Linked DNA regions of Ovis aries. The protein of the gene in region 2 binds, or shares a complex with, the protein of the main gene of each other region. Links are inferred from orthologs where the notes say so. Each region holds a gene or a part of one and is shown on either strand. Other genes may lie near its edges.

Region 1 (5,186 bases), on a different chromosome or scaffold from region 2:
TCAGTCCCTGGGTTGGGAAGGTCCTCTGGAGGAGGACTGGCATGGGAACTCACTCCAGTATTCTTGCCTGGAGAATCCCTCGGACAGAGGAGGCTGGTGCGCTATAGTCCGTAGGGTGGCAAAGAGCTGGACACAACTGAAGCGGCTTAGCACATCCACATGGACTTTTATCTACTGGGGACACAGAATCAGTACCCTTAACAGAGCTCACAGTCATCTTAATGTTTCTTCTTAGTTTACTAACAGCAGGTCAATGGAGTGCTTTCCAGATTTTTTTCTTAATCTGAATCATGCTGGGGGGGCTGGGTGGAGCGGGGGTGGGAAGCAGCTTATTTCTAAGGACCCTTGATTTAAAAAGACAAGAAGTTAAAAATAATGGCAGAACCCGAATATACTCGGGGGAGGGCTTCTTTTATCTGTAGTGAGATAAAAAGTATCTCCAAATGGGCTGGTTTCCAACCTGGACACCGTGTACACAAAGCACCTCATTCTAGCAGGGAGAGTGAATAAATTAAAGCGAGGTAATTTGCCCATATTTATTTTATCCTACAAGTGTGATGTAAAACTTTTCACACGTGCAGGAGCAGGCAACCACAACCACGTGGGGCAGCAGCCGTTTTTTGCAAATAAAAACGCTTCCCAGAAGCATGACAAATGGAAGACTAACAGGTGTAGCACAGAGCCGCCGAGGCGCGCATGTGGTTCTCATCAGCTGCCTCTCTCCTGTTTTAAATGTAGGTCTTCCTGTAACAAGAAGAAAAGTTATTTCTCTCGAGGCTGCGGCTAATGATCCACTCACTCACCTGCCTTTCTTACCCGTTTGCATAACCGTATATGTAATAAGAGCTTCCACGGAGAGCCGGCAATGAAAGAAGGCAATGAGGAGGCGAGGGGCCAGGAGAAGCCCTTAGACTTGACATTTAACAGTTCTGGGTTTGATCGGTAACTCTGGGTGACCTAGGGCCTCAGTTTCCTCCTTGGTAAGGGTGTTTCAGTTTTCCAGCACCACCATGCAAAGCAGGGTGGGAAGGTCTTTTAAACCAGTGATTCTCAACAGGGGTCGATTCTACCAGCCAGGTGACCTCTGGCAGTGACTGGGGACATTTTTGGTCCCCTGCAGGAAAAGGGTGTTACTGGCAGAGACCAGGGATGCTGCCGAACATCTTGCAACGCACAGGACAGGCCCTACAACAGAGTGATCCAGCCCCAAATGTTACTGGTGCCCAGGCTGAGAAACGCCGGAGTGGACACAGGTTTGCAACGTTGGTGTCAACTCATGCGGCCTCGGGGCTTTCCTAGCTGCGGTAGCGGCTCCTCCGTGAGACACTTTGCTGTCTCATGTTTTGGGGATCGTAGCCCGAGGCGCTGCAGACCCCCGACTCGCACCGCCCCCTCTGGAGCGTCCCACAGCGCTCCTCAGTTGACCCTTCCGCGCACAGAATTACAACGTGGACGTCTGCCTCCTGGCCTCCCCGAACGCAGAGGAGCTGGGAAGGACCCCGGGGCGCAGGAAACTTGGCAGCTTCTCCCGCCCGCGATTCCCGTCATCTTCGTCAGAATGGGAAAAGCTTTTCTACCCTAGGAGTGAGGTCCTTCATCTGCCCTGTCCGCCCAGAGCGCCAGGGTTCAAGGACTCGGCGCTCACCTAGCGTTTCCGTCGGAAACCTCCTGCCGCCACCCCCTCAACCTCCAGGCTTGGGTGGGGGCGGGGCCTCCAGGCGGCGGCCGTTGCCCCGCCCAACCGCCTCCCAACGGCTCCCTGGGCCAAGCGGTGGGGCGGAACAGAGGTGGGGGCGACTGCGCCTGCGCGCGCATGCGTGGAGTCTAGGGGCGTGGCCTGCAGGTGGCCCCGCCCAGACTCAGCGTCTCTGCCCGCCCTATCTCCCAACCTCCTCAGCGTGGCGCCGACGCTGCGTGCGGCGCGGGTTACCCAGAGTGCTTCGCGCGGGGGTAGCTCACTGGAGTTTGGTTCTCGAGGCGGCGGCAGCAGCGGCGACGGCTCCGGCGGCTCCTCCTCCTCCTCTGGTGGTGGCGGCGCCCCGGGCCTGAGCCCCGGCCCCGGCTCACCTCTCCGTCACCCCGCGCGCCCCCTCTTTCCCCGGCGCCGCGGGGAACATGAGGCTCCGCTCCCGGAGGCCGGCGAGTGAGTGACCCCGGTTCCCCGCCTCAGCCCGCCCGCCCGCTGGCCCGGCCGCTCCCCCCCCGCCTCGCCCAGGCAATGACAGCGGCTCCGCCGTCTCCGCAGCAGATCAGGGACCGGCTGCTGCAGGCCATCGACCCCCAGAGCAACGTAAGTACTCCTCACACGGGTTAAAGTGGAGGCCGCGTGGGCCCAGGACCCTCCCCCTCCCTAGTGCTCCTAGTCCGCCGGGCTCCGAAGGATCCCCCGGACACCCAGCTGCCCCTGAGGGCCGCTGCCATCCCTGTCTCTCTTCCCCCGGGCCCGGGCCGGGGGCTGGTCGGGCAGCCCGGCAGCGCTCGGTACGTGAGGCCGAGGCTTTAATGCGGCCTGGGCGAAGGGAGCAGATGGGAGCTGAGACTAGAGTTTTTCCCCCTCATCCACCCTAATTCTACGACCCTTGCTGTTCCTGACTGTGCTTGCCCACCTCGCCCTTACCATAGTACCCGCGACCCCCGGGAAGCCCTCCCGGCGGGGGGGGAGGGGAGGGGGAAAGGCTGTGAGCAACTGGTGTCCGGGGTAGGACTCGGGGAGCCCGTGCCGCCGGTGTCTCGGCCTTATCGATGAGGAGGGAAGTCTTATTTACCTTGCCTCCCGGCTGGAAGAACCTTTCTGGCTTCGAAGGGAGCCCCCCTGGCCTCCTTTACACCTAGCCGGGTGCCCAAGGCTCGTGGAGAGTCCCTTTCGGTTCTGAGAGTGGACTTGCTTCGCTGGGTCTCTCTTGGGGTCGCTGCCAACGGAAGATGATCTTGTAGAGAGTGGGATTCTTCCTATTACCTTTCTGGGCCTAAGTATTCCTTGCGTATCAGACCAAGGCAGAGCCCCGCTTTTGGGTAGTGAATTAGAGGTGATTATGTGCTCTCCCATTCCACCCAGAGCCCTTCTTCGTGTGCCCCCTACGTGGGGCCCTAGCCTGTTGGTTTGTGACCTAGACAGTCAGGGTTAACCCCAGGGTGTCGATTTCTCAGGTGCTGCTCCACTGAGGCTGCTGTTTGTGGAGGGATCTCCCCTGCCCTTCACCGTGTGTGTTGGGAAGGATTTATCTAATTCTCATATTTTCTCTGAGTGGTTGTCCGTGATAGGGGTTATTTTCCCTTGTGGCCAGAGCAGGTTCAGCAATGGCAAGATGTTGTAGCATCCAGGTATGAAGTGAGCCCCTGCATTTCCTGGGAGACCAGGAAGTGGCCATTGAAACCACTTTAATGTGCTGGGGATGGAAGAAATAAACCATCTTCGGCTTGGCCAGGTAACTTAGGTTTCTGTCACTGTGGGGACTTTTGCTTTTCCTTTACATGAGTTTTGCTGATTACTTTTAGCAGTAGGTTTTAGCCAGCACTGTGGGAATAATTCATGGTTGGATTGTACAAATTTGGTAGAAAGAGAGGAGTTGTGATCTTTATAAGACTGATTTCTGTATCATAAGTAATTCCTGGTCTTCAGGCCCCATGAAGATAGACTTGGTGGTACTTGTCTTTAACAAATGTTGTATACATTTTTGTTATGACTTTGGGGGTGGAGTAGGCACAAGCTATATAAAACCTTGCAGAATTTTTGCAGTAACTGGTGCTGCAGCAATTCCCAAGACTGAAAAAGTAGAGGATAAAACAAGTGAAATGAAAAATGTAGCCTTGATGACTTTCACCTCAGAGTGTAATTTCTCGAATTCCATGTGCTTGTTTGCCTTGCAGAGATTCTGAATGGTTGCTGAGATATTAGCACTGATCCTAATACCACCTAGGAGAGCTTTGGGATCAGGAGGCGCTTTAACAGGCAGTCACCATGTTGTAGATTAGGTGGGGCGGTGACCTCAGGGGTTCCAGTGTTTTGTAAGACTCTAAAGGGTTCCTAGGAGAACAGGAGGAAGAGGGTCCAAGCCCATGGATGTGTTCCGTATCATGGAGTGCACATTTCACGTGGCTTCTCTGGGACGACTCAGAGTCTTACTGATGTAAGTGTAGTGGATAAAATCGGGGTACTGTCTCTGAATATGAGTGATGAGAAAGTGCCTCCTTTAAATGCTGCTGTTGTCAGTGATGTTCCTGGGTGTTGTTACAAGCCATTTGACAGGAGTGTGGCTTGGAGCAAACTCCGCGGAGAAACTCAGAGCTGTGGAGGAATAGGTTGCCGGTAGAGATGGTGTGACCATATTTCTGCAGTTTCTCTTGATTGAACTGGGCCCAGGTGAGAGCTAGGTGGCTTCATCAAGGCATTGCCAGCACACAGCTGCTCTTCTCTGCCTTACCCAAGTAGAAACTCCACTTCTGCATAGTTAGTTGACACATATTTAAGATGCTCCTGGAAAATAAAAATGGGGACAGCGTTGAAGAGCCAACACTAAAATTAAACCTCTTTTGAGACAAGCGACTGAGAATTGTGTCATTAATGCTTACCTTTATGGGCATGCAGTTATGACAACAAACTTAACTTTTGCTTGAAAAGTCAATGTCAGGGAGCTGACTTAATATCCACAAGTATCTAAAAAGTTAGGGAAGTAACAAAGTAACATTTTCTGATCATCTCCCTGACAAAGAGAGTTCTTAAGAGGAAAGTTCTTTGCTCTAAATTCTAGCTTCTGGAGTACTTGAATATCTATAGCATCAGGCTTTGATTTAATAATTTTTGCCAGCTCAGTAATAAATTTTGTACACTTCTTTTCAAAAAGCAACTGAAAGTTTTTTAGAACAGTGGAATCCTTGCTCTTAGCGTCGTATGGCAGCCCAGGGTGTTGAAAATCTTTCCGAAGGGCACTGTGTGCCTTTGTTAATCTTGTTTTGTCATGGATAAAGTTGAGGAGGACTGTTTTCTTCCTGCCCAGAAATCAGTCAGTCCACTCAAGCATAGTCTCATCAGCAAGTGATTAGGTTCCCGTTTGTATTGGACACTCCTTATTTTGCCAAAGTTCGGGCTTTGTCTTCCAGACCAGAGGACAGCCTTCAGGAGGAGTTTGTTTCTCTGTCTGCTCTGTCTAAAGCAGAAGTGTTAGGTGTACTTTCTAAGTGCTGGTTAA
Region 2 (5,003 bases):
CCCCAATTCCATTTTTCTTAATTTTATTTACTAACATGCCTTCCTTGGGCTGTCTGCCAGAAATTCATGAGAAAGCTGGGAGGTGGAAGAAAGAATAGTTATTCGAGGCTCAAAAAACCTGCCATAAAATGCATAATTTTCAGTAAAATAAAATAACCGCAGTGAAATAAAACATGAAGCTGAATTTTTGTCTGGTTTCACAGTAAACAAATGTTCCACCAAAAAAATCTCCATTTGTAATACAAATGTTTTTAGGAAAAGTATACAACATTGCTATATCTTTAAGTTAGAAATGATAAGCTGCTTTCACCTGATAAGTCATGGTGAATTAGGTCAGCAAAATTGGGGTCTTCACCCCACCAAAATATCCACAATTCTCTTCTTCCAGGTCTCTGATCACGCCGCCAAACACCAAGTACATCTGCCTTAAGGCAGCGACTAAAACTGCTCAAAATGGGGTCTTCCTCTGTCACCGGAAACAGAATAGGGGCAGAAGTTGGGCCTTGCCACACGTATCTCTTCCATTTAATTCCCGTCAAGTCAGCCTGAGGAAAACAAAGTATGATTTTTTTATTATTGCATATTCACTCAAAATCGAAAGTCCTCACTATTAAAGTCCCCTATTTCATTAAGACATTACAATTTTTCAACATATCCTTGAGATACTGAAAACAAACTGACCAAAAAAGAAAGGGGGGGGGGAGTTTATTCTGATAATTCAACAACCAAAAATTAAAGGAAAAGAACAGACACTGAAAAAATTAATACTGACATGTCACTGAATACAAGTCAATAAATGTGTCCCAAGGATAAATTAAAAAGCTTTAATAATGTTAAATATAAACACAGACTTTAATACTGCACACTGAGTAAACATTTGCTCTCAGTCCTAAATTCTGTTCTTACTGGTTACATTTGTTTCTTGGTATCAAACTTACTACAAAATTAACTTTTAAAGATTCATCATTCCATGTTTACAGACGTCACAGCTTTAAGGAAAAGAAATCTCAACTACAAATGAAAACATTCTTGTTAAATCTTTACATATATATCTCTTTAAGGAAAAGTCAAATAGCTGCTCACAAAGAACTGTCAGATTTGTGCTAGTCTTATCTTCAAAGAACCCGATCCTAAAAGTACCAAAAATAGACTGAGTTGGAGAAGACAGAAATGTAAAACCTGCTGTTTGTCTACTATATCTGAAGAGATGCTGATTAATGGATATTGTACAAGAAACATTTTATAAGGGGGAAAGGCATTCAAGATCTCAATTTAGTATCGTAAAAGAAATTATCAGCATGAATTCAGTAATTTTTTAATCTAACTTAAAAGTGCAAGCTTAAGGTGCCAAAAATGAAACTGCTGATACATGACTGGCAGTTTACACTTGCCAACTAGTTGTGCTCCGCCCACTCAATTCACTTACCTATCACACACTCTTAATATTCCTCATAGGACAGGGAAAATGAAAAAAAGAAAGTTACCGAAACTTCAAATCATTGATGAAGCTAAGCTCCTATCCAACTGCAGACTGAGTATTTGCAACAGTTGGTACTTTTTAAAGTCTTTATTCAGATGTTCCCAGACCGGGGCCAACCAACACAACTGCCATCCGTAGAGCCAGCTTCCCCTTGACTTTTCAATAAGAGGAGCAGCCTTCTGTATAAAAATATTTAGTCCAGAACCATAGCATCTCTTCCATAAGTTCGCTCCACTCTCACAAACCTAATGTTCTAATAAAAGCAAGTCGGCTAGAGACTGTCAAAATCTCCAACTGCTTTCAAAGTTTAAAAGAAAAACTACGGAATGGCATTCACTGTTTTTTTAAGAGTCTGAAGTCACCCAAGGAACAAACGAACCCCCTACAGTTTGGCTCATCTTTATAAAGAACAAGCACGTAAAATTAAAAGAGTGCTAAGTTCCGGGGTCTCGTTTATCGGGGGAAAATAAGAGGAGCAGAGCCAGGCAGTGGGAGAGAATGGGCAATAATAGAAAGTGGCAGAAAAGGGATACACGGTCAATAAGGAGACAAGCAACAGTTAAGCCAGCAACACAGGAGGGAAATGCCGCTGTCCTGCCAGGAAAGGAGCCCAAGTTGGGAGACAGGACCGCGGGCGAGAAAAGTGTCGGAAACGGGAGAAAAGGCCGACGCTCCTAGGGCAGCCCGGGCCGGCGGCTCCGGGCCGGCGCGGGGCTCCCGCGGCGCCGGCTCGGGCCGGGCCTCGCCCGGGGACTCGGGCATCTGGATCCGACCCGGACCCCCTCCCCCACGGCCCAAGGGCGCACCTCGCGGCCCCTCCCCCACCGCCCGCCCGCCGCGGCCCCCGCCCGGCACTCACCAGGCAGAAGAGGTTACAGTGACAATCTTCCAGGCTGGCCCCGTTCGGCACGAAGGAGGAACTCATCGTCCCTCACAGCAGCCGCCGCCGGCGCCACAACCCACCATCCGCCATTACCGCCGCCTCCGACCAGAGAGAGAAACAGACACCGGGGAGGGCGGGGGGGTGGTGGTTGGGGGGGCGGTGGAAGAGGAGGCCGCCGGGCCGCCCGCCCTCCCCACCCACCCCCCCGCCGCCGCGAGCAGCCCCCGCCGCCCGGCCGGCACCCAGCCGCCCGGGGCCGAGGGCCGGAGGCGGGAGGGCCGCGCCGCGCTCGCCCCGCCGGCCGGGCTGCGGCCGCCGCGGAGCCCGCGGACGCTCGTCCCTCTTCGGGGGACGGAGGGGATGTGTGCCCCTGCCACCAGAAAAAAATAATAAATTACAGAATAAATAATTAAAAACGAGTCCGAGAGGGCAGAGCCCGAGCCCCGGAGGCTGCTCCCGGGGCGGAGAGGCGCCCGCAGAGGGGCGGGAAGGGCGAGAGCCGGGAGAGAAGCCCAGGCCCCCGGCCCGGCGGCGGCGATGTCCTTAAGCCCAGAGTCTCCTCAGTGGCGGAGGTTGGTGGCGGCGTCTGCGGGCTCAGACCATTCTCTGGCTGTGTCTTCGTGTCGTCCCTGAGCCAGACCGGCCTAACGTCCGCTCTCCTGCGGCCTCACCGCCGGGACGCCGTAGTCTCCCCCATTTTGTGGGCCCAGCGGGCGGTGTTTTTCCCCCTTTAATCCGAATTCACGGGTTTTCCCTTCGCTTTAATGGCGGCCACAGGGACCAGCTCGCCCTCTCTGCTCGCCCATTGGCCGCCTCGAGGTCACGTGGGCCCAGGCTCCGTGGGGAGGGGGAGCGAGAAGGGAGTGAGAGAGGGCCGGGAAGCTTTCAAGCGGAGGCGCTGAGCCCCGGGGGACGGGGCAGCCGGCTGTTGGCCACCGAGACAGCGCCATCTGCTGGGTGCCCCGGCCAGTGTGCGATGACCCGGGCCCTGGCCCTCTCTCTCTCTCCTTACCGGGCAACTGACAGTACCAGAGGGTTCAAATCACAAATCTGAGAATTACGTTGAAATCAGTTTGGATTCTGTGGAAGAGAAAAGTACTGCAAAAATTCCAAGCCAATCTCACTTATTCCTCAAGGCCGTTGGGGTGCGGCACAAACCCCTGGGCTTGGGCGTCAGATCCTCTGAGACCGGACTCGGCCGCTCGAAAGTTGGAATATTATGAAGGAAACATAAATGAAACAGTATAGCCTTGTGGTTCACAGCCCGGGAGTTAGAGTGACACTGCCTGAGTTCGAACTTTGAGCAGATCACTTACCTGCGTTCCAGTTTACTCATCTGTGAAATGAGGAAGACATGTCTCCCTCACGGGTTGTTGTGGTAAATGAGTTAATACAAAGAAAACACGTAGGTAAGCCCAGTGCCCAGCACAGATAAACACTGCTTAGAGTTGTCTATTACTGCTGTCATCATTACCTCGTGTGGTTATTGTGAGGAGTAAGTGACCCAAGTGTATGTAAAATGCCCACTGACAGTGATCTCTCCGTGAGAACCCGCACTTACTTTGCTTTACCGCTGCGTCTCCAGTGTCTCAAAAAGGTTCCTAGCACACAGTAGGTGCTTGATATTTGTGAATTTGCGACTGAATGGAAAGAAGTAGGAGCCAAATAAAATATTCGTTCCGTTCCCAAAAAACATTACAGTTCTTGATTGGATCATACTTCAAAGTAGGAACTCAAGACGTTTTTCCTAAGTTTTAGAAGGGAGAGAAGGGGAGAGAGAGAGAGATGGAAAGGAAAGAGAGCAGCGAGGGGAAAAGAAGGGAAGAGGGGAGAAGGGAGGGAGGAAGAAGTAAAGGTGATTCAAAAAATTGGAGACATCATCGAGTTAGGACTTTACCATAATTTTTCATCTTAGTTGCCTCTGTAAAATGATGGTGGATTCTTCTATGCCCCTTATTCAGCCACAGATTGGAAAGCCTTCCTCCTGTATTGATTCATATATGGTAGTGAAGACCTCAGATATTGAAGCCAAAAACCTACAGGAGGAGTTCTGCCACTTACTAGTTGATCTTGGATCAAATTTGACTTTAGATCAAATTAATTTCTCCTGCTCTCAATTTTCTCATTGTGAAATAGGGATAATAAAAGTACTTTCCTCCTAAAGTGTCTGGTGGATGAAACATTGCAGACATAGGGTTTGCCACAGTGCTTGCTAAATGTTATCTGTTAATATACCTTAAAAAATCATTATTGAGCACACTCATATGAATGTGTTCCTGGTCTGTGCTAGGCCTGGGATACAAATATGAATAAGATATATGCATAACCCTCAACACTGGCCACCTGATGCAAGGAACTGACTCATTAGAAAAGAGGTTGAGGCTGGGAAACATTGAAGGCAAGAGGAGAAGAGGATGACAGAGGATGAGATGGTTGGATGGCATCACCGGCTTGATAGGCATGAGTTGGAGCAAGCTCTGGGAGTTGGGGAAGGACAGGGAAGCCTGGTATGCTGCAGTCCATGGGGGTTGCAAAGAGTCGGACAGGACTGAGCAACTGAACTGACTGAACTGAACTGAAAGATTCCTGAAGCAAGGCAACAAAGGAACCATTTCCCACAGGATAAGATAAAATACAATG

Evidence for each region. The genes of interacting proteins can lie anywhere in the genome.
Region 1: MED13 (region 2) and MED26 share a complex: the UniProt entries of both Homo sapiens proteins name them as parts of the mediator complex. The link is inferred for Ovis aries from reciprocal best matches to the Homo sapiens genes MED13 and MED26.

The regions. Positions count from the first base shown.
Region 1 is NC_056058.1:6,188,492-6,193,677, forward strand, and holds the start of MED26 (mediator of RNA polymerase II transcription subunit 26), read left to right. Parts: upstream 1-1,957; 5' UTR 1,958-2,218; coding exon 2,219-2,290; exon of another isoform or gene 2,291-5,186. UniProt on the Homo sapiens protein: Component of the Mediator complex, a coactivator involved in the regulated transcription of nearly all RNA polymerase II-dependent genes.
Region 2 is NC_056064.1:10,737,310-10,742,312, reverse strand, and holds the start of MED13 (mediator of RNA polymerase II transcription subunit 13), read right to left. Parts: upstream 3,139-5,003; 5' UTR 2,406-3,138; coding exon 2,340-2,405; intron 546-2,339; coding exon 311-545; intron 1-310. UniProt on the Homo sapiens protein: Component of the Mediator complex, a coactivator involved in the regulated transcription of nearly all RNA polymerase II-dependent genes.